Macaca fascicularis: one gene and its partners. The protein of the gene in region 2 purifies or fractionates together with the protein of the main gene of each other region. This does not show direct contact. Links are inferred from orthologs where the notes say so. Each region holds a gene or a part of one and is shown on either strand. Other genes may lie near its edges. The genes, in order: HBS1L, DIS3L, EXOSC5, GIGYF2, EXOSC7, EXOSC6 and EXOSC8.

Evidence for each region.
Region 1: the proteins of DIS3L (region 2) and HBS1L purify together in Homo sapiens (affinity purification with mass spectrometry; 5 studies listed by BioGRID and IntAct, with this or other methods). This does not show direct contact. The link is inferred for Macaca fascicularis from reciprocal best matches to the Homo sapiens genes DIS3L and HBS1L.
Region 3: the proteins of DIS3L (region 2) and EXOSC5 purify together in Homo sapiens (affinity purification with mass spectrometry; 5 studies listed by BioGRID and IntAct, with this or other methods). This does not show direct contact. The link is inferred for Macaca fascicularis from reciprocal best matches to the Homo sapiens genes DIS3L and EXOSC5.
Region 4: the proteins of DIS3L (region 2) and GIGYF2 purify together in Homo sapiens (affinity purification with mass spectrometry; 3 studies listed by BioGRID and IntAct, with this or other methods). This does not show direct contact. The link is inferred for Macaca fascicularis from reciprocal best matches to the Homo sapiens genes DIS3L and GIGYF2.
Region 5: the proteins of DIS3L (region 2) and EXOSC7 purify together in Homo sapiens (affinity purification with mass spectrometry; 3 studies listed by BioGRID and IntAct, counting the BioPlex papers as one, with this or other methods). This does not show direct contact. The link is inferred for Macaca fascicularis from reciprocal best matches to the Homo sapiens genes DIS3L and EXOSC7.
Region 6: the proteins of DIS3L (region 2) and EXOSC6 purify together in Homo sapiens (affinity purification with mass spectrometry; 3 studies listed by BioGRID and IntAct, with this or other methods). This does not show direct contact. The link is inferred for Macaca fascicularis from reciprocal best matches to the Homo sapiens genes DIS3L and EXOSC6.
Region 7: the proteins of DIS3L (region 2) and EXOSC8 purify together in Homo sapiens (affinity purification with mass spectrometry; 4 studies listed by BioGRID and IntAct, counting the BioPlex papers as one, with this or other methods). This does not show direct contact. The link is inferred for Macaca fascicularis from reciprocal best matches to the Homo sapiens genes DIS3L and EXOSC8.

Annotation. Positions count from the first base shown.
Region 1 is NC_088378.1:39,077,030-39,081,086, reverse strand, and holds the start of HBS1L (HBS1-like protein), read left to right. Parts: upstream 1-1,257; 5' UTR 1,258-1,388; coding exon 1,389-1,431; intron 1,432-4,057. UniProt on the Homo sapiens protein: GTPase component of the Pelota-HBS1L complex, a complex that recognizes stalled ribosomes and triggers the No-Go Decay (NGD) pathway.
Region 2 is NC_088381.1:42,977,862-42,981,361, reverse strand, and holds part of DIS3L (DIS3-like exonuclease 1), read right to left. Parts: intron 3,402-3,500; coding exon 3,240-3,401; intron 1,164-3,239; exon of another isoform or gene 1,090-1,163; coding exon of another isoform or gene 1,081-1,089; intron 971-1,080; coding exon 723-970; intron 372-722; exon of another isoform or gene 161-371; coding exon 68-160; intron 1-67. UniProt on the Homo sapiens protein: Catalytic component of the RNA exosome complex which has 3'->5' exoribonuclease activity and participates in a multitude of cellular RNA processing and degradation events.
Region 3 is NC_088393.1:48,530,784-48,534,283, reverse strand, and holds part of EXOSC5 (exosome complex component RRP46), read left to right. Parts: intron 1-1,643; coding exon 1,644-1,784; intron 1,785-3,499; coding exon 3,500-3,500. UniProt on the Homo sapiens protein: Non-catalytic component of the RNA exosome complex which has 3'->5' exoribonuclease activity and participates in a multitude of cellular RNA processing and degradation events.
Region 4 is NC_088386.1:128,766,799-128,770,298, reverse strand, and holds part of GIGYF2 (GRB10-interacting GYF protein 2), read right to left. Parts: intron 2,489-3,500; coding exon 2,279-2,488; intron 2,166-2,278; coding exon 1,960-2,165; intron 808-1,959; coding exon 653-807; intron 1-652. UniProt on the Homo sapiens protein: Key component of the 4EHP-GYF2 complex, a multiprotein complex that acts as a repressor of translation initiation. In the 4EHP-GYF2 complex, acts as a factor that bridges EIF4E2 to ZFP36/TTP, linking translation repression with mRNA decay.
Region 5 is NC_088376.1:107,902,752-107,906,251, forward strand, and holds part of EXOSC7 (exosome complex component RRP42), read left to right. Parts: intron 1-910; coding exon 911-1,034; intron 1,035-2,738; coding exon 2,739-2,894; intron 2,895-3,500. UniProt on the Homo sapiens protein: Non-catalytic component of the RNA exosome complex which has 3'->5' exoribonuclease activity and participates in a multitude of cellular RNA processing and degradation events.
Region 6 is NC_088394.1:70,113,775-70,117,945, reverse strand, and holds EXOSC6 (exosome complex component MTR3), read right to left. Parts: upstream 2,801-4,171; 5' UTR 2,761-2,800; coding exon 1,942-2,760; 3' UTR 491-1,941; downstream 1-490. Other genes in the region: AARS1 (alanine--tRNA ligase, cytoplasmic), read right to left, coding at 3,592-3,777, 4,120-4,171. UniProt on the Homo sapiens protein: Non-catalytic component of the RNA exosome complex which has 3'->5' exoribonuclease activity and participates in a multitude of cellular RNA processing and degradation events.
Region 7 is NC_088391.1:16,546,591-16,550,660, reverse strand, and holds the start of EXOSC8 (exosome complex component RRP43), read right to left. Parts: upstream 2,801-4,070; 5' UTR 2,781-2,800; coding exon 2,764-2,780; intron 1,356-2,763; coding exon 1,319-1,355; intron 1,132-1,318; coding exon 1,068-1,131; intron 686-1,067; coding exon 612-685; intron 1-611. UniProt on the Homo sapiens protein: Non-catalytic component of the RNA exosome complex which has 3'->5' exoribonuclease activity and participates in a multitude of cellular RNA processing and degradation events.

The DNA of each region.
Region 1 (4,057 bases), on a different chromosome or scaffold from region 2:
TAAATTTGGATTACTCTTATTTCTTTCTATTGTGCATAGCAAAAAGCTGAGTAAGCTTTTAATTATCTCTAGAATTTGACATTTGCCTTTGATGTGAAGTATCATCATTTCAAAAACACAAGCTAAAACTGAAGTGGTTTGTTCAGTATAATGAGGTTGGTTTCTTATATAACATTATTAACTTTATGTTCTAAGAAATGAGGACATTTAATAGTGGGTTATAGATTCATGCATCAACAACATTCATCATTACTACCTAAGGCCAGTGCTATGTCTAAAAACCTATATTTAATACAATGTTACACACAATTATGTGTTCAATGAATGTTCAGTGAATCCTTCTTTATGATGCTAATAAATATCGTTTATATAGCTAAAATCGTTTACATAGCTAAGGGCAAATCGTTGTTTACTGGAGATACTAATGCCGAACGGAGTGAATACATGAAGTTGTAAATTATATGAAAGCAGGGTGACCTATTATAGCCAGAGTCTCAATTTAATAATATATACCCGTTTAAAAATAGCCTTATTTCCTCCTCTAAAGCTTGGACTCTTTTTTTTTTTTTTAAGATAAGTTCTCACTTTGTCGCCCAGGCTGGAATGGAGAGGCCCGATCTCAGCTCACTGCAGCCTCGACTGCCCGGGCTCAGAGGATCCCCCCACCCCAGCCTCTTCAGTAGCTGGGACTATAGGTCTGCATCACGGGGCCGGCTAGTGTTTGTATTTTTTGTAGAGACGGAGTCTCGCTATGTTGCTCAGGCTGGTCTCAAACACCTGGGTTTAAGCGATCCGCCCTCCTGGGCGTCCCAAAGTGCTGAGATTACAAGCAGGAGCCACCGCACCGGCCTGGGCTAAATCTGCTACCAAGTTTACACAAGTTTGTTGAATGCCTACTGTGTGCCTAATTAAAGATCAAAGTTTGATAAGACAAGGTCCCTGCTCTTACTGAGCACATAGCTTTCTCAGGTTATCAGAAACCACATTTGTAAAATAATCCAGAACGCTGGCGTAAGTAGGTCAAGGTTCCCCGCTTGCAACATTTAGTCCAAACCAGTCAGTTCTAGGAGGCGCGATTTCCCCATCCCCCTCCGTCGCCCAACCTTTGGGTGGGGCCACGCCCAAAGGCTCCCTCCCCTCTTCCCGCCGTGCGCAGCAGTGCGCATGCGCCCTCAGGGAGTCGAACAGTGACCCCCCCCCCCCAGGCTTTGCCGTCGCGCGGTGCACAGATAAGACGTCGCGCTTGCGCAGGCGCTCGGCGCAGAGGCTTGCGGGAAACCAAGATGGCGCATGGGGGTTCTCCAGGGCGCAGTTGGCACCTTATCAGTATCTAAGCGGAGTGTTTTGGAAGGAGTTAAGGGGCTGTGGCAAACGCCCTCTCCGCCGTCATGGCCCGGCATCGGAATGTTCGAGGCTATAACTACGATGAAGGTAGGAGGCAGGGTCATGCCGGGACGTTCTTTTGCGGTTACAGCTGGGATCCTAGCCCGTTGGCATCTACTTCAATCTGTGAGTTTCTCGTCAGTGGTGCCCTGTCGGAATTGGGAGAGCCCAGTTGGGGAATATTACAGGCCTTCTAGTGCCGCCGAATGCCGTCGTTTTAAAGTCATGATTTCTGCCCTCTGGTGTTGATTTTGTTTGGGGAGGGAGAGGTGCTGAATAGCGTCATATGGGTAGGACATTGGTGAGGTTGGGATCCGGTGATATTTAGTCACGTAAGCATTATCACCTCTTCCATTGTTTCCTCCCATGTCGGGCACTCACGTGCCTGCTTCTAGCTCCTCTCTTTCAGACCCCCTTTGAGAAATGTCCTTGAAACGTTGCTTATTTGTAAAACACAGATTGACTTAATGCTTACATTCAACAGACCTGTACCTGTGCTAGATTTACACGGTAAATCTTTTCTGTGTGTCCATACATACTTAGTGCAGAACCAGTTTGCGCTAATTTATTTTTCAACAAATTTCAAAGTGGAATCTTAGGAGACAGTAGAAAAGACACATATTAAAAAGGCCCAAATAATGAGTCGATCAGATGATCGTGAAGTTTATACTCAGTTCTTGGCTGGTAATGCTTGATGTAAATGTATTTTGAAATGTAAATAAACGGCGGTACTAGAAGAAAGAGTGTATGGGAAAGGACTTTTTGATATTAAAAAATGAAATAAAAGAAAAATGTCTATATGAATGTTCTGTAGGAGTTAACAGGAGTTAGAATTATTTTTAGGAGGAGCACATCCCTCTTCATGCAGTAGATAACTATAGGCATCACCAAGCATCACATAAACTAAAAATATAAACAAGTATGAACTAATGCAGAAGAAGAATAAAGACCTATGCTTTGCAAAGTGCAGAACATGTAATGCTTAATATGTTGGTGATTGTCGTTGGCACCCCAGTAGATTATTATGGAACATCAGTGTGCTCTAACTAGAGTGAGGGCAGCTAACACCCTGTTCTCCATTTGGAACCTGTGACTTCAGTCCGTCTAGAACATGTGAATTTTCTGGTGGTTACTTTAGAATAGAGGCCCTTTTAAATAAGTATTGCAATGGATGGTGTTGCATGTGGACCATTGTCACCTAAGAAATGACTTTAGACTGAGAGATATTTTTGCAAATATAAAGTACATGAATAGGCCTAATTATTATTCGTTTCTTTAATAGTTGTTTATCATTTCCTCAACCACCATTAAGTTAGTGCTTAGAGTACTGTTCTAAGCTTTGAGGACTGACGGTAAGATATTTGAGGGTAGTCTAAAAGGAGAAGATTATACCAGTTACAGATTATTAGAGTATGAAAAATGCTACAAAAGGTACTGAGAAAACGCTATGGGAGGGATACACAGATGAGAACACTTAATTCAGAATGGATTGGGGGGAGTAAGCAGGATTTCTATGTGAAGGAATGCTTCATGGAGGAGAGGTGGTTGGCCTCAGGGAGCACCTTGGCTACTTAAGGTCAGGTTGTCATGTTTCTTTGGAACAATTGGTGACATCATAACCAAGCTGTTCCTGTAACATTAAGGAGGTTCATCCCCTTTTCTTGTTTATAAAAGTTGTACTCATTATCAAGGTCCAGTTTATTTCTCTTCTTCCCAGTTAGGCTTTCTCTTGAATTCTCAGAATAATAATTTAAAAATTCTCTTAAGTAATACAACCTCATTAGAGAGAGTGTGTGTTCTAAAACCTATTGGTTTCTCTACTTAACTCCCACTTTGTTTTTCTCTGTAATTTATTTATTTATTTATTTTTTTTTTTAATTTTTTTTTTTTGAGACGGAGTCTCGCTCTGTCGCCCAGGCTGGAGTGCAGTGGCCAGATCTCAGCTCACTGCAAGCTCCGCCTCCCGGGTTCCCGCCATTCTCCTGCCTCAGCCTCCCGAGTAGCTGGGACCACAGGCACCGCCACCTCGCTCGGCTAATTTTTTGTGTTTTTAGTAGAGACGGGGTTTCGCCGTGTTAGCCAGGATGGTCTCGATCTCCTGACCTTGTGATCCGCCCGTCTTGGCCTCCCAAAGTGCTGGGATTACAGGCTTGAGCCACCGCGCCCGGCCTTTCTCTGTAATTTATATAATACTTTACATGACTGCCTCAGTCACTGATTTAAAAGTCCCAGGAAAGCAAAATCCATACTTTAAGTGGCTGACATAGTGTTCTTTACATGTAGTAAATATTCCATAATTTTGTTGATTGAGGAAACAAACTACGAAGATTGCAGGAAAGAATTCTCTTCATCTTTTTATGTGGTGGCACTTTAGGGTCAATTTCAGCATTGACAAGCTGACTTAGTAAAAAAAGAGTCTCATTATGTTTTTTTTTTTAAGAGACGGGATCACACTTTGTTGGCCAAGCTGCGGTGTGAGTGCAGTGGCATGATCATAGCTCTCTGTAACCTCCAACTCCTGGGCTCAAGCAGTCCTCCTGCCTCAGCCTCCAGAGTAGCTAGGTCTATAGGCATGTGCCCCATGGCTGGTTGATTTTTTTTATTTTAGTAGAGACAGCATCTGGCTGTATTGCCCAGGCTGGACTCAAATTCCTGGGCCCAAGTGAGATCCTGC
Region 2 (3,500 bases):
AAGCAGGCAGCATCGGGAGCCACAGAAGGGCCAGGACAAGCTTTGAAGACAAAAGCCATAAACTCACCTATCAACGCCTCCCAGAAGGGAACACAAATCAGCACTGAGGACGGAAGGCAGCATGTCATAGCGACGATCTGCTAGATAATAAGTGGTGGCCCTGTGAATGACACACACGCGGCACCGCGACCTTCAGCAGGGAGAAGCAGAACTGCTGACTGTGTGGGCCGCAGGGAGGTAAATGGCCAAAATCTCACTACAGATTCCCCAAGGTAGTTGCTGTTTCATAAAGTGCAGCAGACTGGGTAATAAAACTATTCCCATGGTCCCATTTTTCTAAGTGATACTGCTTTGGGCTGAATAGTCTTCCACTGATAAGAGAAAGAAAGAGCAAGTGACAGTGAATCTTTGTTGCATAAGAAAAATTGGAGTGTAATGATCCAGCATTTTTATAAAATAGTATATTACTACATGAAAATTTAACCCATTTCAGTTTAGTAGGAAACAATATGTGAAAAGGTTATGTTAAAAGGAAAGGTAAATTGATCAAGGTACTGTTTTTCTAAACGAAAATGGGGAGTGGACCTCAACTTTTTTTTTTTTTCCAGAAGGGACTTTCAGAATTACACAAACATGAGATCTTTGAACACCTGAAACTAGTACAGACACAAAATACACAGTCACATATATACAACCATAGAGCTGATTTCAAATAGCATTACCTTGTTCTAGCTTCAATATCAATATAAGAATTTGGTGCCACAAAGTGTGTTACATCTGCGATGTGGACCCCAAGTTCCAGGTTGCCATTATTTAAGGTTCTGATTGAGAGTGTGTCATCCACATCTTCACAACCTTTGGGGTCAATGCTGAATACGAGATGGCTTTTCCTCAAGTCTTTACGTTTTTGTTCCTCTTCACGACTCACTTTCCAGGGATTTTCTGGTGTGTTTACCGGCATCTCACACATCTGTATGAGAGGTCAAATATTCAGCAATTCATGCACCACACATTTCTGTAAAAATCCACTCACTGATATTCTCAATGCGACCACAGAGAAATTCATTCATTCTCAATTACCTTCTGCATCAACCTATGTCGGCTTCCTTCGATCAATAATTGTTTATTAGGTGCCTCAGATATCCGGGGTACTGTGCTGGGCTCTGGAAAGTCAGGAGTCAACAAGAAAGACAAAGTCCCATACCCCTGAGGACCCTTACATTTGGACAGAAAATGTCCCACAACTTCTACCAGTCTCTTTAGTTACAGAGGCTTGGAACAAGAGTACAACATGTAGCCCATTTTCAAATGATCCATTCGTTTAAATGTAGTCAAGCTTTAAATTTAAGACTTGAAAAAATAATCAACATGTTCCAAATATTAAAAGCTTACCCCTTAAAGATAATTTTATACAAGACCTATCTAGGGCATTTTCTCTCCATTATTATCTGTTTAAGCCATCAATTTGCAGTTAAGTAGGCTAAAAGGGAAGAGAAAATTCTAGTCCTATGATGTATAGCTCACACTTTATTTTATTGTAACATTTTCACTAAGAGCTGCCAAACAAGTCAACAAATAATTTCCAGAAACTAATGTTAAATATAAAAATTTAATGATGTAAAATATTCTACAATAGTTTACTATGATAGCTCCTATTCTGTGAAAAACTATAATGAAAATAAGAACACCCAGACACTCCTTATGGCAATGCAAATGGGTCCAAATTTTCTGGAGAACAATCTGCTAGTACATATAAGAAGTTATTTAAATCTTTTATACCCTTTGACTTGGTAATCTCACTTTAAGGATTACATTCCAAGAGAATGATCAAAAAGATATTAAAAAGCAGGCCAGGCGTGGTGGCTCAGGCCTGTAATCCCAGCACTTTGGGAGGTTGAGGTGGGCGGATCACGAGGTCAGGAGATCGAGACCATCCTGGTTAACACGGTGAAACCCCACCTCTACTAAAAATACAAAAAATTAGCCAGGTGTGGTGGTGTGCGCCTGTAGTCCCAGCTACTCGGGAGGCTGAGGCAGGAGAATTGCTTGAACCCGGGAGGCAGAGGTTGCAGTGAGCCGAGATCTTGCCACTGCACTCCAGCCTGGGTGACAGAGCAACACTCCATCTAAAAAAAAAAAAAAAGAAATTAAAAGCAGTGTTTATAAAAATGTTCGAAGTAACTTTTTTTTTTTTTTTTTTTTTTTTTGACGGAGCCTCACTCTATCGCCGGGGCTGGAGCACAGTGGCGCGATCTCGGCTCACTGCAACCTCCGCCTCCGGGGTTCAAGCAATTCTCCTGCCTCAGACTCTCGAGTAGCTGGGATTACAGGTGCCCACCTCTATGCCCAGCTAATTTTTTTGTGTGTTTTTAGTAGAGACAGGTTTTCATCATATTGGCCAGGCTGGTCTCAAACTCCTGACCTGGTGATTCACCCGCCTTGGCCTCCCAAAGTGCTGGGATTACAGGCGTGAGCCACCGCCCCCGACCTACATTTTTTTATAATACTGAAAAATTAAACAGCTGAATGCTCAACAATTGAGAAATGCTTAAGCAAACTAGGGTATGTCAATATACCATAATTTACCATTATCATTAAAATAAGTAGGCTATGTCAATATATAAAAATAATTTTAAGTGAAAGAAGCAGAACAGAAATCAGCGTGTGCACATGATGAATATAGTCATGCAAGAATAATACACAAGATTTATGAGGGTTTTAAAAGATCATGAAGTGATGGAAATAGCTGATGTTTTACATTTATGGGATTTTTGTTTTCTGTAAAGGTTCACAAAAACTGTTTCATCGTGAGCATAATTTTTGACCCATGGGTCGGAGATGTATGAATCCCAGGAATCCACCCCCTGCAGCTTTATGCAGCCTCTGGTTGAATGATTTAGACAGAGAGTGTGGAGCTCAGTTGGGTCTGTAACTAGGTGTCCTTGTAGTTGCTGGGGACGGATGTATACTGACTATAAGACACTGACATATCATTTTTAAGCCCAGTTGGAAAATATAAAAATTTGAGAGCTATGAGGCTATAGAAAACTAATTCTACACTTAAAGCTGACTTCAGTTTGGTCCAAATATAGAATAAAGAGGAGTGAGATTTTTCCATTATCTGTAGCTTAACACAGTGGGTTGTTACATAACACAGCGACTTTTCTTTCTTAATGATGAAACAACAACAAAAGAAAAAAGAAAATGTCACTAGACCAAAGGTTTCTGGAAAACCCGACCTGAGCTTCTGAGAAAGGGATGACTGAAATACTGTTTTCCACCAGGATGGTTGCAATTTCGCCTTCCAGATCTCCAATTCTTCCTAAAACACGCACAAAATGTCCATTTGGATACACAGATGTTGACTCCCAAGAATCGATGCGCACGACCACCCTGAAGTCCTGCACAAAAGGAAAAAATAAAACACAGCTGAGCACCAGGAGTTAAGTGGGTCAATTAGAGGCATCAAACAAGAGGCAAACAGCACTGGGTTCCAAAGA
Region 3 (3,500 bases), on a different chromosome or scaffold from region 2:
AGATGAGTGTTCTTATGTTCGCATGTTTTAGGTGACAAAACTGAGGCCCAGAGAGGGGAAGGGGCTTGCCCAAGGTCACACAACTGGAAGGCCGCACAGGCGGGACTCAAGCCCAGGCCCGTCTGACTCCAGAGCCTGTGCCAATCACTTTTGTGTTTTTGGTTTTTTCTTTGTTTGTTTGTTTTTGAGACAGGCTCACTCTGTCGCCCAGGCTGGAGTGCAGTGGTGCAGTGTCAGCTTACTGCAACCTCTGCCTCCCGGGCTCAAGCGATTCCCATGCTTTAGCCTCCTGAGTAGCTGGAGTTACAGGTGCCCGCCATCACAGCAGGCTAATTTTTGTATTTTTAGTAGAGATGGGGTTTTGCCGTGTTGACCAGCCTGGTCTCGAACTCCTGACCTCAAGTGATCAGCCCACCTTGGCCGCCCAAAGTGCTGGGATTACAGGCGTGAGCTACTGTGCCCGGCTGGCAATCACTTCTACTCGGCACCTCAGTGGATTTCAGGCCCTCAGTGCTGGGGGCGCCCTGAGCAGACAGCGGCTGAGTCAGAAGCTTGGCCTTGAAAGATCTCCCTGTCTGAGGTGAGGGAGGTTGAGGTTGAGGACCAGAATTAGGCACTGTAGAAGGCTTTACTGGAACATGACCCTGAACTGGATAGACATTTTATGGATGGGCAGAGAGAGAAAGTATTGTGACCCCATTTTACAGAAGGGGAAAGTAAAGCCCAGAGGAAGTGGTGGAGGATCAGCAGCAGAACTGGAACCGGCTGACTCTAAAGCTGTGGCCTTTGTGTGGCCTGCTCCGCCTGGAGAAGACACACATGGAAACTGAGGCAGAGCCAGCTGACTCCCAACCTGTGCTGTCTTTCCACTTTGAGCTCCCTGCAGGCAGCAGCGCGATGGCTCTTCCTCCATTGCCCTGCCAGCTCTGTCACCGCAGAGTGGCTGCTACCCAAGTTTTGAGCCTGGCTTTGCCAGTGCCTCCCCCACGTGACTTTGGAAGGTTTCTTCCCTTCTCTGACCCTACTTGCCAACAAATGTGTGGTACGTACTTCAGTACATACCTGTTGAATATTATATTCCCCGTCTAACAGATGAGGAGATTGAGACTCTAAGTCATTTGTTCAAAGTCACACAGCTGAGAGAGCAAAACTGGGTCTGGAACCCAGGGCTACTTGATCCCCAGACCACTTTTAAGCACTCTTGCCATACTGCCCTTCTGTGACCGATTAGTGATGTCTGCCACAGGCATCAGCCTGGTCGGGGGAGGCATGGATCTGCTCTGCTGGCCAGGCCTACGGTAGAAACTTCTTAGGCTGGGCACAGTGGCTCATGCCTGTAATCCCAGCACTTTGGGAGGCCGAGGCAGGTGGATCACCTGAGGTCAGGAGTTTGAGACCAGCCTGGCCAACATGGTGATACCCCGTCTCTACTAAGAATACAAAGATTAGCCGGGTGTGGTGGTACATGCCTGTAATCCCAGCTACTCAGGGGGCTGAGGCAGAAGAATCGCTTGAACCCGGGAGGTGGAGATTGCAGTGAGCTGAGATCACACCATTGCACTGCAGGCTGGGCAACAAGAGCAAAACTCCATCTCCAAAAAAAAAAAAAAAAAAGAAACTTAACCATTGCCTGTGGTGCTCAGCTCCTGGCCTGTTGTCTGAATGCCGCCTGCATGGCATTGGTGGATGCAGGTGTGCCCATGCGGGCTCTCTTCTGTGGGGTCACCTGCGCCCTAGACTCTGATGGGACTCTCGTACTGGATCCTACATCCAAGCAAGAAAAGGTAGGTGTGAAGATTGGGGTGGCTGAAGGGCAGAGGCCAGACAGCTCCCCCTCCCTTCCTCCAGGCCTCACTTCTCTGCAGATAATAGGCTCATGCCACCTCGATCCCACTTAGCAAGGGCTGCTCTTATCGTCGTGGTTCATTTAGCAGCAAGTGCTAGAAACCCAGCTCAAACTTGCTTAATTAGAAAGGAAATGTGGGGCCGGGTGCGGTGGCTCACACCTGTAATCCCAGCACTTTGGAAGGCCGAGGTGGGCAGATCATCTGAGATCAGGAGTTCAAGACCAGCCTGACCAACATGGAGAAACCCCGTCTCTACTAAAAATACAAAATTAGCCAGGTGTGGTGTGGTGGTGCATGCCTGTAATCTCAGCTACTCAGGAGTCTGAGGCAGGAGAATCACCTGCATCCGGGAGGTGGAGGTTGTGGTGAGCCAAGATCGCGCCATTGCACTCCGGCCTGGGCAACAAGAGTGAAACTCCATCTCAAAATATAAATAAATAAACTAGAAAGGAAATGTATGTCCGGGTGTGGTGGCTTACACCTGTAATCCCAGCATTTTGGGAGTCTGAGGCGGGAGATCACCTGAGGCCAGGAGTTCGAGACCAGCCTGGCCGACATGGCGAAACCCCATCTCTACTAAAAATACAAAGGTTGGCTTGGCATGGTGGCACGTGCCTGTAATCCCAGCTACTCGGGAGGCTGAGGCATGAGAATCACTTGAACCCAAAGGGTGGAGGTTGCAGTGAGCTGAGATCGCGCCACTTCACTCCAGCCTGGGTGAAAGAGTGAAACTCCATCTCAAAAAAAAATAAAACCAGGACTTTAAACAGCATCAGGATGTCCTTGCTTCACTTCCCATCCCTGCCTTTCTCTCCACGTCAGCTTCATTCTCTCGGCCAGCATCTCTCCTGAGGCTGGGACTGACCCCTTACGTTCCATTTCCATCTTAAGAGGCTCAAAAGCAAACAAGAAGACAAGAGAGCTTTCCTCGTTGGCTCAGGTGCAGTGTCCTAAGCTCAGGTTATTCTGAGTTTTCTGCCCAGTGCTATAATGGTCCCCTCCAGTCAAGAAGACAGAAACCACTTGGAGAGTTTCAGATGGAGGGAGTTAAATGCAGGGACTTTGTAACAACAGTGTTGGAGGAGCTAGAGGAGGAAAAAGGAACCAGGAGTGACACCCAAAGATGAGAAACCCCTCCCAGACCTGGGCTGAACCTGTGAGCCAGCTCCTGCTCTGTCATGTTGGAGACATCATCTCAATTGGTTCTGCATGCACATAGCATGTCCTGCCTCTGCCCTGGCCACTGAGGTCCAGAACCCACCCCACCTCCATGGCTGTCACACAGCCACGGCCATCAGCGCCTGCCATTGTCAGTGAGGACCAGGGTGCTGCTCTTCTTCCATTCTCCCACCTCATTACTGCTGGAAACTAGCTGGTAAGGGAGTCTGGGACATACAGCTTGCTGGCTTCCAGCCCCTGTGGGGCAGAGCATGGAAGGGTGACTGGGAGGCCGAGAGGCACCAGATAAGTGAGTGGCACTGTGGCTAGCCCCTTGGGGCAGGAATACTAAGCTTGAAAGCCCCTGTCAGAACCGCGTGGTTGGAATAAGGGGCATGGAGTACAGTTCTACAAAGGAAAGGCAGAGGGCTATACCCGGGGAAATAGGGAAGGAGTGGTGTAGACAAAAAATGACTGCGCTTCATGCTTGATAGG
Region 4 (3,500 bases), on a different chromosome or scaffold from region 2:
TTTCTTGGTTTTAGACAGGGTATCAGAGGTGGACTAATCAACTCAGCCTGTTAGTTATGGGAATCCTGACATGACCAGTCTCTCTTCAAACATTCAGGGATGGGAGACAGTTCTGTTTGTAAACAGCTAACCATCAGCAAGTTTTTCTCTAAACTGTGCCAAAGCCTTTTCACTTCTGCACGTTGGTCCTAGTTTTACCTCACACAAAATAAGTGTACTTGCTTTATCACAATTCCCACTCCCTCCCCAAAAGGTAGAAAGGGAATGATGTCACATCACCTCAGCCATCACCTGTCCAGGTTGACCTTTGTCTCCAGCATGACAGTTACTTTTTTTTTAACCTGACATAGCTGGCAATGTTCCCCATAAAATGAACAGTATGGAACTAAGACCTCCTCTGTCCTGTGTATCATTAAGGCAGTCTAAGATGGCATTTAATTTTTGACAACCACCAATAACCTATTTGAGTTTAGTATTACTAAACTTTTCTCACAAGTAATACTATTAAAGAGTCAAGTTCCCACGGCAGGTGCAGGAGTTGATCTCCTTAGATTTCATCTTTTGACTTCTGGACCACTGTTCAAATTTGCCAGCCTCTCTGTGGGTCCTGCTCTGTCATTCCACATGCCGGGTTTCCCTCCCCAATTCTTACCATCCAAGTTATTTGCCGTATTAAGGGCATGAAGCATCTGTTCACACCACTGGGTAAATCCATCTTGGGCTTTATTTACTCCCTGAAAGAGCTTCAGCAACTTTTCTTCTTCTTCTACTTTCTTATTCTGCCGGTTAGACACACCTACAGATTTACTAAAGCAAAACAATAGGGCGATATTATATTCCCAGAAACTGTTACTATATGATTATAGCACAACACCATAAATAATGTCTTGGCAACATTGGATAGATGTCCAGTAATCCAATGCTTGGCTCCAAAAAAGAAAAAAATTCAAATATTTGGATTGGATATACCCTTAACATCTAGTCTCAGTTAATATATCTTAATTTCTGGATAAAGGGCATCTATTTAGAAAAAGGGATGAAATTCTTCCTATGTGTCCTTAGGTAAGTTGTTTAATTTTACTAAGCCTCAGTCTCCTCATCTGTAAAATGGTACTAACACTTTTTTGGGTTATCATAAGTAATAGATATTGTATGAAAAGGCCTATAGCACAGTGCCTGGCAAAGATGCTCAATAAACTAACAAAAATTTATTGTCCTATATTCATATGTTAGGCCCTAAATCAAGAAGAAACAATCTGACAACACTACCATTTATTAAGTAGTTACTATGTGCCAGGCACTTACTACTTATCATGTATTCATTTAATCTTTGCAATTACATGCATAAAGTTGTTATTATTATCTTCATTTTACCGATGAGGGAACTGAGGCCCAAAGAGGTTCCCTCTTGCCCAAGGTCACACAGCTAATAAGTGGTAGTGCTGGGATTTGAGTTCATGTATTTAACACTAAAACCCATGCTCGTTCAACAACACTGTATACTGAGGAAAGAAAGATGAAGATGAAAATGTAACTAACTTATAAAAATAAATAGGTTTAAGGTCATTACAGAGGTATTTTATAATACTCATATTAATAGTATGAATCACTTAAAAATACAAATTTAGGAAAAATGCTAAGGTATCTAAAGAATACCTTGGAGAAATGTTCAACAACACAACAAAAACATTATACTATTCCTAATATTTATTAAGTGGTTACCATGCGCTAGGCGATAGAATAAGTGCTCAGCAGAAGGAGCCCCAAGAAATAATACGAATATGTTTCTATGGGGAAGAAAGCAATCACCATAATTATGACTGCATGTGCTTGAACACAGATGAAAACGGTAAGTAAAAACTAAATAACTACCTTTTCCTGCCCACCCAACATCAAACTTCCTCCATCCTCACCTCCCAACCAACCAAGGTGCATAGGTGTGGTCATTTTGAGCCCTACCTGAGACTGGCGTTGTTTTTATTTTTATTTGTTGAATTCCTAGGTCCCACCTCTTTAACTGCATCATCCCAGAATCCCATGTTGGAGTTTTTAGTGTCAGCATTACTCCAAATACTACTGACTAGGTCAGATGCCCACTGGTTAGGAGGACCAGTATTTATAGAGCCCCAAACAGAATTCCCAATGCTGGTGTGCAGGTTGGAATGCTGTTAAAGAAAAAGAGAAAAATGATTATCGTTAATCATGTTAAAAAGATAAAAAGACAGTCAGAAAAGATAATACTAGTCCATAAAACGACAGCTTAGGAAAATGCACACACCGTATTGTTACGAGCTCTGTTTGGTTGCTGGTGCTGCTGCTGCTGCTGCTGCTGCTTTTGCATTTGCCTGGCCTCTTCCTGCTGGATCTCCAGAAGAGATTTCGTGGTACCTGAAGGTTTGCTGACATTCCCCCAACCTGACAGTTTCTGCTGTTGCTGCTGCTGCTGCTGCTGGAGAGCTTTCATCAACTCCCTCTGCTGGCGCCTTTGCTGTTGCATGAAAATAGAACCTAGCTGAGGATTCTTGTTTTTAGATAATAGTTATAAATATCCAGTATACTAAATGGAATACAAACACATAGTAGCTACATAAAATTAACTTGATGGGATTAAATTCTGCTGTTGCAAATAAAAATGTAAATCGCTAACAGTATTAAAAAGGAGAATAAAAACATCAAATGCAAAATTACTTCTTTTTTTGTTGTTGAGACGGTGTCTCAGTCTTTCACCCAGGCTGAAATGCAGTGGCACACTCTCAGCCCACTGCAACCTCTGCCTCCCAGGTTCAAGCTACGATGCCCGGTTAATTTTTTGTATTTTTAGTAGAGATGGGATTTCACCGTATTGGCCAGGCTGGTCTTGAACTCCTGGCCTCAAGCGATCCACCCACCTCGGCTTCCCAAAGTGCTGGGATTACAGGCATGAGCCACCGTGCCTGGCCTCAGAATTACCTTTTTATTTATTTATTTATTTTGGAGAGAGGGCCTCACTCTGTCACCCAGGCTGGAGTGCAATGGCACGATCTCAGCTCACTGTAACCTCCACTTCCCAGGTTCAAGTGATTCTCCTGCCTCGGCCTCCTGAGTAGTTGGGATTATAGGCACCTGCCACCATGCCTGGCTAATTTTTGTATTTTTAGTAGAGACAGGGTTTCACCATGTTGGTCAGGCTGGTCTCGAACTCCTGACCTCGTAATCCACCCAACTTGGCCTCCCAAAGTGCTGGGATTACAGGCGTGAGCCACTGCACCCGGCCAGAATTACTTCTTAAAAATTAAGTAGGCCTTTGGTTAAGCATAGAAATAAAACACATGTTTACTTCCTAAAACCTCCACCAAAATGACAATTTATACACACACACACACACACACACACACACACACACACACACAGCATAAACCCATAAGGACAAAGAAAACAGAACAGATTTTTTAAAATCTGAAAAGCAGATAAATAATGAGAACCAATGTAACAGATCCAATAAATTAAAATCTAAGTAAAGG
Region 5 (3,500 bases), on a different chromosome or scaffold from region 2:
TTTCTATTGGGCTATCTTTTTTTTTTTTTTTTTTTTTTTTTTTGAGACGGAGTCTCGCTCTGCCGCCCAGGCTGGAGTGCAGTGGCCCGATCTCAGCTCACTGCAAGCTCCGCCTCCCGGGTTCACGCCATTCTCCTGCCTCAGCCTCCCGAGTAGCTGGGACTACAGGCGCCCACAACCGCGCCCGGCTAATTTTTTGTATTTTTAGTAGAGACGGGGTTTCACCGTGGTCTCGATCTCCTGACCTTGTGATCCGCCCGCCTCGGCCTCCCAAAGTGCTGGGATTACAGGCGTGAGCCACCGCGCCCGGCCGGGCTGTCTTTTTTAATAGGAATTCTTCATATAATCTGTCAGATAGTATTTTCTCCATCCAGATTACATTTTTAGTTTTTAAATAATGTCTTCTGATATAAAGAAGTTCATGATATATATTTATATAATATAAATGATATATGTTAGTAAATATATATAATATATATACACATATATAATTGAATATATAACTTTTTTCCCTTTGTGAATCCTGTTCAAGAAATAGTTATCTACTCCAAGGTCATGTAGATGTTTTTTTCTAAAAGTTTTATTGTCTTATCTTTCATTTTTATATCTATGGTCTATTTCATATGGCTTTGTGTGTGTGGTGTGAGGTAGGGATTGAGATTCTTTTTTTTTCCATTGGGATATCTGATTGACCCAGCATCATTTTCTAAAAGATGCCTTTCCTCATTGCATTGTGGTGCCTCCTGTGTGCTTTTGACAGGGATGACAGGGATGAGGATGATAAAGAATAGGCATAGTGTATCTTTCTCTTGTGAGACACAGGGATTCCAACTCCTATTCTCAATCTTAAAAAGAAGTTATTTTTTCTCCTCCCAGTAAGTGGGAATTTTAATTGTGCTTCTGCTTCCAGCATACCAAGAGTTCGAGTTCTGGAGGATGAAGAGGGGTCGAAGGACATCGAATTGTCTGATGACCCTTATGACTGCATACGACTAAGTGTGGAGAATGTCCCCTGTATTGTCACTCTGTGCAAGGTATAAGCTTGTGTTTTATGTTTTTTGTCTTCCCTGTGGGTGTGGGTCTCCTCCAATGCCAACCTGCTGAGGTTACTTAATAGGTTAAGAAGTTGTAATATCACATACCATATAGAAGTAGCTTTTACCCAAATCCAATAATTTGGTTATATTAGAAACCACTACCATGAGTAGCTCTTTCTTTTCTTTTTAATTGGAAGATACAATGTGATCCTTGGAGCCATGAGTGTGTTTGTAGTAATAGTAGCCAGAGTTTGTTAAGCTCCTTCCGCATACCGTGCACTTCACTAAAGCACCATGTCCTTTAATTCCCTCAACTCTATGGGGTCTAGGGTGGTTGAGTAGTGGAGGGTGGTGAACACTGTCCACCCTATGAAATGGGAGGTTGGAGCAGGTCTTGGGTATCAGGAGTGGTTTTCACATAGAGGGCTGTGGAGCTGAACAGAGGGCAGTGGAGCTGAATATCAGGGTGATGTGACATATAACTAATGCTGCTCCAGGCTGTGCAAAGAGGCCTGTATTGGCTATTGGCTGGGATTGTAGCTAATTCCACTCAGGATTCATTATCTCAAAATAAAGCTAAACAGGTCAGGTTTAATTCCACTGAGATCACTTCATGAACAGAATGTGGTGAAGTGTTCAGACAGCAGGATGTTGGGTCTTGGCTTCTTTCTTTTCTTTTTTTCTTTTTTTTTTTTTGTGACAGTCTTGCTGCAACACCCAGGCTGGAATGCGATAGTGTGATCTCGGTTCACTGCAACCTCTGCCTCTCAGGTTCAAGCAATTCTCCTGCCTCAGCCTCCCAAGTACCGGGATTACAGGCACGCACTATCATGCCTGGCTAATTTTTGTATTTTTAGTAGAGACGGTGTTTCACCGTGTTGACCAGGCTGGTCTCAAACTCCTGACCTTGGGTGATCCGCCCACCTCAGCCTCCCAAAGTGCCGGGATTACAGGCATGAGCCACCACACCTAGCCGGCTTGTTCTTTCTTGTTTATTTGTTTTGAAACAGGATCTTGCTCTGTTGCCCAGGCTGGAGTGCAGTAGCACAATCTAGGCTCACTGCAACCTCTGCTGCAACTCCCCCACCTGCCCAGGCTCAAGCTCAAGCAACCCTCCCACCTCAGCCTCCCAAGTAGCTGGTAGCACAGGCTCGCACCACCATATCTGGCTATTTTTTTGTATTTTTGGTGGAGATGGGGTCTTGCCCATGTTACCTGTGCTGGTCTCAAACTCCTGAGCTCAAGCAATCCATCTTCCTCAGCTTCCCAAAGTGCTGGGAGGCATGAGCCACTGCGCCCAGCCTTTGGCTTGTTCTTGAGTGTGTCCCTTAGCATGGACCCTCTTGATTTCCCTTGCCATCAGTGAAACGTCCATGTGGCTTTGTGTATTAATTTCTCCCTTGTGCCCCTCTGTTGGAAAGCCCTAGTGGCCTTTGCCTTGGATGGTCTCTGAATTCTAGTTTTAAACCCCCTTGCCCTGTTTTTCCATGTCATGTTTTTATTGTACCACCCACACAGTGGCCTGTGAGAATTGTTGAACATTCCTTTAACTATTTTCCTCATGAGCAGAATCTAAAATAAGACCTGGAATGACCAGTGCGGGTACTTTGCCTGGTGTAGAGATTCCCACCACGAGGCCATGAAGGGTGGGGCTCTGAGGCCTGCGTGACCCACTGTGTGCTGTGCGCCCTGCCTTTGCAGATTGGCTATCGGCATGTGGTGGATGCTACTCTTCAGGAGGAGGCCTGCTCGCTGGCCAGCTTGCTGGTATCGGTGACCAGCAAGGGAGTTGTGACGTGCATGAGGAAAGTGGGGAAGGGCAGCCTGGACCCAGAGAGCATCTTCGAGATGATGGAGGTGAGGCCCTGGTTCTGAGGAAGGTGCGGGGACCTGGCTTGGGTGCCTGCTGCTTCCTGCTCCCTTGGTCACACCATGGCGATTCTCCCCATTCACAGCCTTGACCCCAAACCTGGAGGTTGGAGAACAGCTGGTTTGAGCCAGGGGTCTGCTGACCTAATCAAGGGGGTTGCGGGGGTAGATACTCTGGACTGGGAGGTAAGGAGCCTACCAGTAACCATTTCTTATCCTCAGTAAGTGCCCCCATCTCATTTCTATGTGTCTAAATAAGACCGTTGGACTTGGATAATGTAAAGAGCCGCTCGTAACTCCAAAATCGCAGGCCTTTGTAACTTGATGAGGGAATAGAATTCTTGGCTCACTGCTTCCTGTCCCTTGAAGTGGGCGAGTAAAGATAGAAGCAGGGGCTGAAATGTGGCTGTCTGCCAAATTCATTACTGCTCTAGAAGTGTTTAAATGGAGACAAGCAGGGATGGTGAGAAATCCGACCCGCTGGAGTAGGAGTGGGTTGCCCCCATCACTGGCAGAGCCATCAGGGCACTTCCATAGTTTTCTGTACTGTTTGCCCCACATGTCTGTCACCTCACTGGCCTGGAAGCCCCGCAG
Region 6 (4,171 bases), on a different chromosome or scaffold from region 2:
AACCTGTAGTGGTGGGTTTAGCTTCTTTAGAGGTTGCATTTCGAGATGATGGTCCTGGGACTGACACGGTTAGGAGGTGGCCTGGGACTGCACCAGGTCGCCATCCTCATGAAGCTGAGGCTCTCTTGCAAGGGGCAGATGACAGCCCATCCCCACCCCACCCCCACCCCCACCCCCACCCCCCACCCCACCCCACCCCTCCCCTCCCCTCCCCTCCCCTCAGAGGGCACCCTCAGCCTTGTCTGAATGCAGACACAGCTGATCTTCACTCCCCTCCCGATACACCGCCAGTCAACAGATAGCCAGCAGATCTCCCTGAGTTTCCAATCTCCCTGAAACTGCTGGAATGTTCTCAGTGTGTACCCCACACAGCCCTCTTTGGGCTCCAGACTCCCCATCTACTCTAGGAAGTCACCCTTCAGAATTACATTATGTCCTCTCCCCACTGGTGTGATACTATTTCAGACCTGCTCTAGAAAGACACGTTATGTCAGAAGGGAAAAAATAAAATTTGTATTTTTCCTGGTCAGGGGTTCTGGGTGTGGCCCCAGAAACTCATTCTGGTCCTTGGGCTGACCCAGGTCGGCCCTTCCTAGAGAAGCTGAGTGCAGAGAGGGGACCAGGCCGCCTTCCAAATGGCAGTCACCTAGCTTCCTACCATGCAGTCTTGAGCCCAAACCAGCAGAGCTGGTAGCGACACAGGAAAGACCCCACCTCGTGGTGAGTCAGTCAGGTTGTACCTGGCCTTCCTAGCAGTGCACCTGCCCTCTGCGGTGCTGCTCAGGGTCTTCCTTGTAGGACCAGGGTGCCACTTCTCACCAGCAGTGGAGGCTCGGGTTGTGCCATTCTGCACATGGCCAAGGACAGATGGCTTCTACGCAGAGCAAAACCCTTTTCAGCTACCCAGCACCAAGCCAGGTTGGGGCACGAGGTGCACTCAGCGCACTTCTGGGGCCGTACTTTTTTTCCTCAGACGGAGTCTTGCTCTTGTTGCCCAGGCTGGAGTGCAATGGTGCGATCTCCACTCACCGCAACCTCCACCTCCCGGGTTCAAGCGATTCTCCTGCCTCAGCCTCCCGAGTAGCTAAGATTACAGGCATATGCCACCATTATTAGTGCTGGCTAATTTTGTATTTTTAGTAGAGACGGGGTTTCTCCATGTTGGTCAGGCTGATCTCGAACTTCCGACCTCAGGTGATCTCCCTGCCTTGGCCTCCCAAAGTGCTGGGATTACAGGTGTGAGCCGCCGGCCCGGCCAACTCTCCCTACTCTCGTCGTATCTCAGCAGTTCCCCTAACTCTGGTTCATGTGGGGGCAGCTGCTTCTCCAAATCACAGCGCTCCCCTCAGGCTCTGCAGCTCTTTTCAGCCCGTCTCCTGTTCACGTGGGCCTAAGGAACAGAACCCGTTTAAGGCAATGCCGCCGCGACCCTTGACACCTGGGATGCAAGAACAAAAGAGCCTTGCTCTCTTAAATCCCGGACCAAGAAGAACCACACCATAAGACGTTTTTCAAATATAAAAGGGTCTTTCTTTTGGCTCAGACACAGAAGGCACAGTCGTCTTGTCCATCCTCTGAAAAGTCGCCCAGTTATATCGGAGGGGGTCACTGGCTGGCCTGAATGACAGCAGCTCTAGGTACCAGCTTCCAGGTAAGTCCAGCTAAAGTTTCCAACTTGGGAGTCAGGATGCGCTCACAGGTTTCCTCAACTGGGTCGAAGCTAAGAGCCGGCTCAAGTAAAGTTCCTTTAACGAGGTTTGTAAAAACCCTTTCCAACACCACAGCTGTCCGGCGCCTTGGCTCTGCTAGAGCCTACCCAGGTGCTCTCCAGGGCTCCGGCTGCTTACCTCGACGCAGGCTGGAGGCCGACGGCGCGGGTCTTTTCAGGGACGGCGGCAGCACGGTCCTCGGCTTGCGTCCGTCGTTGCTCAGGCTTCTAGTTCAGGGCTGGGCGGCGGCGCCCCTGCGGCGCGCCGCCCGCACCAGGCTCTGCTGCAGCACGGGGTAGAGGCGCTGGCAGCCCTCGAGCCCCAGGCGTACGGCCTCCGCCCAGCTCTCGATCAGGCCGCCCTCGCCGCTGCCCAGCAGCCCGGCCACCTGATTCAGCACAGGCATGAGCGCCACGGTGAGGCCCGCGGCGGCGCGCTCTTCCTCTAGTCGCGTGGGGTCCAGCAGCCAAGTGGGCGCGGGCCCCGGCGCGAGGCTCAGGCCACAGCCCACCACCAGATCGTACATCTCAACGCCCGCGTCGGCCAGGGCGAGCGCGGCGGCGGTGAGCGCGGCGGCCAGGGCCGAGCCGCCGTCCTCCAGCAGCAACGCCGACACCTCGAGCTGCGCGCGCGGGTAGCGGCCCAGGCGCACGGCCGGCTCCAGTGCCTCCTGCAGCGCCAGCGCCAGCTCACGCTCCTCGCCGCCGCCCGGGGGAGCGCGGCGCCGGCGGCCCGCGAAGGGCGCGCGGCGGAAGTCGCACAGCAGGCGACCGCGCAGCGCGGCCGGGGCTTCGCCGCCAGATCCGGCCGGGCCGCCGCCGCGCTCGCCTCCCTCGGCCTGTCGCGGGCCCGACACTGCACACAGCACCTTTGTGCCTCCCGCCTCCAGGTAGGCCGAGCCTTTGGCCTGGCTCAGCAGCCCGGCGCGCGCGTACACGGGCCGCAGTCGCGTTGGGTCGCGGGCGGCGGGCGCCTCCTCCTCGTCGGCCGCGTACAGCTGCGGCGGCTGCGACTCTTCAGGGCCGCGGATGCGGCGGTGGTCCCCGGGCATGGCGGCTCCTGGCTTGAGAGCCGCTTCCGCCCAACGCACTGCCGCACCCACTGGTTCTTCCGTTGCTTAAAGACGCGCGCCTGCGTGAGGGCTGTCGGGAGAGTGACGGGCGACGCTACAGCGCCTGCTGGAGGCTCGGAGGGAGAACGGCCGGCGTCCCTGGCGCCCTGGTCCCACTTGTGCAGGGCTGCCTGATCCATCCCTCCTGCTGGAAGGCAGCGGGAGAGCAGCTCCAAGGCTTCTCTGCTTCCACTAACCCCATCTACTGAATTATGAACGCCTTGCTCCATGTCACCCTACCTATTTGGCCTCAACCTCCACAAACGTTTGAGGCAACCCCAGGGGCTTTTCCCAAAATTTAGGGTTCTGGGGCTGGACTAGGTGAACACTACAGCAGCCAGTAGAAGCCACAGCATTTATTCTACAGACAGCAGGGGCCAAGGGCTGTCAAAACAGCGAGCTCCACCTGGGAAGAGGGATAGAGATCATATAGCATTAAGTATTGCACGTGGTCCTTTTATTCTCTGCAGCAAAAAACGATTCGTCCTTGCTGACACGGAAAGCTCAGGCTGGAGAGCTGTTATCTACAGATGCGAGTGTGGTGATCAACAGCAATGCGGGGGTAGTGGTTCTCGACAGATGGCACTGATGTGGAGGGCTCAGGGCAGAAGTATAAGGGGCGCTGAGTCACAGGACTGCTCGTGAGGGTGTTCCAGGTACGGCCGGGGTAGGAGGGGCTCTCAAAAGGTCCCAGGATTCAAATGTTCTTGTAGCAGATGAAGAGCTCCCGGCTGGACAGATGGAGCCAGTAGAAGCCACCTCCTCCCCCGCTCAGTTCTTTACATCCCCGAGGCGCAGCTGGGCGAAGGAAGTGGCCAGCTGCAGCGCCTCCTGCAGGCAGCCAATGTTTTTGCCTGTGGCCTGTGCAGACACATCCTTGCCCCCACCTTTACCGTCCATCAGGCCTGACACCTGCTGTACCCACTCGCTGGCTTTTAAGCCCCGATTGGCTGCATTCTAGAAGAAAGAAAGGGAAGGGGGAAGTCAGGACAGAAAATGGGATTGAGGGAGGAGCCATCACCCACTCCTTTGCCCTGGGTGATACTGCTGGAGGCCGAGACAGACTTTACGGCTAGTGCAGGGGGCAGTCATGGCCCCTGCCAGGACAGGACAGAGTGGCAAAGCCAAGTATCAACCAGACAGATGCAACCAATGAGGAGGCCTAGGTAAGGGGTACTGGCAAAGGTGACCAACAGGCAGGCAGGAGACAGGCTCTTTTAAATGCAGGTTGTACACACACAGGCCTCAGCAAACAAGCTTAAGACCCAACACTTCCCACTGGTGCAAGGTGGTTCTGACCTGAGGGACTTGACACAGGCAAGTGATCTTGCCAGCCTCGTTGTCCACCGTG
Region 7 (4,070 bases), on a different chromosome or scaffold from region 2:
CAACTAAGTGTTAAATAACACAGGGTGTATTGTAGTGAAAGAAGCACAGGCTTTGGAGTCAGATTTATGTCTCAAGTTTTACTTATGAGTCTTATGTACCTGGAGAGGTTACTGAACCTCATCTATAAAACAGGAGGTGGAGAAAAATAACAAATGATTGTTGTAGGGATTAAAGTGGATTATTCTGTAAAGTGCCTAAAAAGGTGTCTGGAACATAGCAGGTACTCAGTAAATGGTAGCCATTATTCCCTCAAATTTTTCTTTTCAACAATTTCAATTTTCCACACATTTACACAGATTACATGTCATCACTGGCTAAAAGGATGTCACCAAAAATCTGTTAATTTCTCAAATGATATAACCAAATGTTTTAAAAATTAAGGGTGGCTAAGATTTTTAAAGTTGTTTCATTTTGGTACATTTGACAAATGTTCAGTCATTAAACTTGGGTCATATTATTTAACACTCATAGTGAAAGCTCTTGGGAAATTAAATATTAAAAACTGACACCCAACTGTCAAATCAAGAGTGGAATTATAGGTGTATATTACAATCTAATAAAGAAAGCTAACTTTGTAACTCAAATCTCAATAGGACATATTTAGAGTTACCGCTTTAACTCCACAGATCACTGTAGTATTTCCCAACTTCACTAAAGCAGAACCATCTGCGGTACTAATTGAACCTGAAAAGATAAGCAAAGTGAAAAGTGCATGAAAGGAAAACAGCTACAAAATTATCTACATAATCATTAAAATTAAGTGTTTTAGCTTGCTGTGTATGATTATCTTGCTACCCCTCTCAGTTGCTTATGAATATTTCGTTAGAATAATTGATTTTTACATAACTATTTTAAATTAGTGTTTAAATAATTATTCACCTGTCCTTGAATTTGTGTTAATCATTTTTCATTCAGTTACAGGGCTTTTGTACAGATAAAAATCTCTTCACACAAAAAATCATCAAATTCTTTAGAAAAAGAGAATTTGGCTGAAAAACTGTTTAGGTGGTTCAGAGACTAAAACTTGGGAATATCATACAGTTGACAATGGAAAATACATCCTTACCTATGTTGACAGTTGTGGTTCTGAATTCACCAAGTTCTCTTCCATCAGGACGGCAGTTCTCTTTCTAAATAAATGTTTATATAAAAATAGATTATACCTATTACATATTTTACACATCTATCCCAAGTTTTACACACACCAGGGGAAACACATTAAATGTTACTTCAAATGGATTAAATTACTTGAAATGTATCTTTAAAAGCAGCCCATTGTTATCAAAAGGCAAAACATGTACATAACTTTTTACTCACCAGAAATCTCCTGTAATACTCCAGAGGTTCCACAGTTCTGAAACACGTGTTAAAAATATATCTGAGATAAACTGATGAATCTTAACATAAATCCAGAAATTGGCAAAGATCTTGAGTGTTGTGATGCAGCATACATCTCCACAACTTTTAACTAAAAGTAATTCTAGAAAGTAAAAATCCTTGCAGTAGCAATCACATTCAATTGCTGTCCTTAACTCTGCCATTAACGATTAGAAGATTGGCGTCTAAAAGCCCTTTGCGTGAGCTCTTTAAAAGCGGATTAATCTAGGTGTCAAAAGAATCTTGTCATTCTTGCTCTGAAACAAGGATCCTAGTGATCATGAATATCTTACTAGATAACTCAGGAAACAAAAAAGGTACATCTTTATTTTCACTGTAACTGAAATTTAGCATATTCTTCAATTATGACTGTAGGCAATAAACCATAGTAACATTAGCAGTACCTGCAACTTTAACAACCACAGAGACCACAGATGTCTTCATTTGTACCCTATAGCTATATAAGGTATGTTCAGGCTCACTGTTACTTTGAAATCCCAGCAGTTACTACTAGTCTCGCCACTAGATCTTGTTTAAGAAGGTTAATTTTAAAGCAAGTATATATACTACTATATCATGTCTTCGGAGTTTATACTTAGAGATAACTATTTCAACATAATGGATTTCCTTTGGAATCCTATTTATCCATTTTTTAGAAACTTTAAGAAAGTCCATTGGCTTCACACACAATAAAACCTTCCAAACAAGGCATGATCCTTTTAGAAATAAATGACGGGAGAGGGAGAAGCAGGCGGTATGTGGCTCTGATGCAACAATCTTGATTGACTGACTGACTGAGACAGAGTCTCAGTCTGTCGCCCAGGCTGGAGTGCAGTGGCGCGATCTCGGCTCACTACAAACTCTGCCTCCCGAGTTCAAGCGATTCTCCTGCCTCAGCCTCCTGAGTAGCTGGGATTACAGGCGCCCACCACCATGCCCGGCTAATTTTTACATTTTTATTAGGGACTGGGTTTCACCATGTAGATCAGGCTGGTCTCTAACTCCTGACCTCAGGTGATTCGCCCGCCTCGGCCTCCCAAAGTGCTGGGATTACAGGCGTGAACCACCGCGCCCGGCCACAATCTTTAAAAGAGTACAACTATGTCTCCTGGGACTGAACATTCACTACACACCACGCTCACGAGCGCTCGCAGCGGGCATGGAACTCTATAGAGTCCTTTCATCTCTCGTTTCATTGGGGGGAAGAAGCCCTTTCTTTTCACTATAACCACCTCCAGGTCCTCCCACTCGTCGCCTGCTTCGACGAGGAAGGAAATGGCACCCCAACGGGGTCGCCCTCCGGGTGAGAGAATCCCAGCTAAGAGTTAAAGGAAGCTGCCGTCCACCTGGGTACAAAACTCGACCCGCCACCTGAAAACACTCACTTGAACCCAGCCGCCATCTTCCCGCCCGCGCGTCTGCGCCTGCGCCGCTCCTCGCTTGCGCGCCTGTTCCGCCGCCGCACTTTCGACACGGTTGCCCGGGCCGCTCACGCCACAGGAAACGCCAAGGTGGGGACGCGACGAAAGGTCCCTGGCCCGCCTTCGCATCGACTTTCCCCTGCCCAGACGCCCTTCTAAGTTTCCTTGCCTTGGACGTATTTTGACGAATCTGCTGTTAAAGAAGGAGCCGGTGTCCGTCTTTATTAAAAAACTGGTGCTGTAACTCAGAATAAGGCCAACCGTTCAGAGATAACAGGGTTTCCAGCGAAGAATTAAGCAGTGCGTGTGGAGCGTTATTCCAATGTTTCTGCGTATTTTTTTTCCGCCTGTGACTTAGGCTGAGCCCTGGCCTTGCCTCTTCACGGTCAAGGGCTCCTTGCTCCAGCACATGAGAAACCTGAACTTTTTTTTTTTTTCTTTTTCTTTTTTGAGACGGAGTCTCGCTCTGTCGCCCAGGCTGGAGTGCAGTGGCGGGATCTCGGCTCACTGCAAGCTCCGCCTCCCGGGTTCACGCCATTCTCCTGCCTCAGCCTCCCGAGTAGCTGGGACTACAGGCGCCCGCCACCATGCCCGGCTCATTTTTTGTATTTTTAGTAGAGACGGGTTTCACCGTGTCAGCCAGGATGATCTCGATCTCCTGACCTCGTGATCCGCCCGTCTCGGCCTCCCAAAGTGCTGGGATTACAGGCGTGAGCCACCGCGCCCGGCCGAGAAACCCGAACTTTATTTGCGCTCATTGTCCCACCACGTTCTGCTCTGCATCAGCTTGTGTTGTAGACTGTGTAGTGCTCAAGGCTGCCATCTCCTTCCTAGGCGGGGTTACCAGATAAAATACAGTTAAATTCGAATATCTGATAAACACAGCATTTTTTTTAAGCATGAGTATGCCCCAAATAGAGCATGCAATTAGTTGTTGCCAGAACCTGGAGGGAGCTGGGAAGACTTTACAGATAGATAGTGGTGATGGTTGCACAGTATTGTGTATGTAATTAATGCCACTCACTATTGTAAAAACGATTAAAATGGCAACTTTTTGTTTTATTTTACCACAATTTATAGAAACTAGTGTAACCAGAAACCTTTAACTGGATGAGTTGTATGGTGACTATCTTAATAAGGCTGTTAAAAACATGATTAGTTTTTTTTGTCTGAAATTCAAATTAAGTAGACATCTTGCATATTTGCTAAACCTGGCGGCCTGCTACGGAACCTGGCGCGCCTCTCCACCGACTGGGCGCCGAGGGCACGAG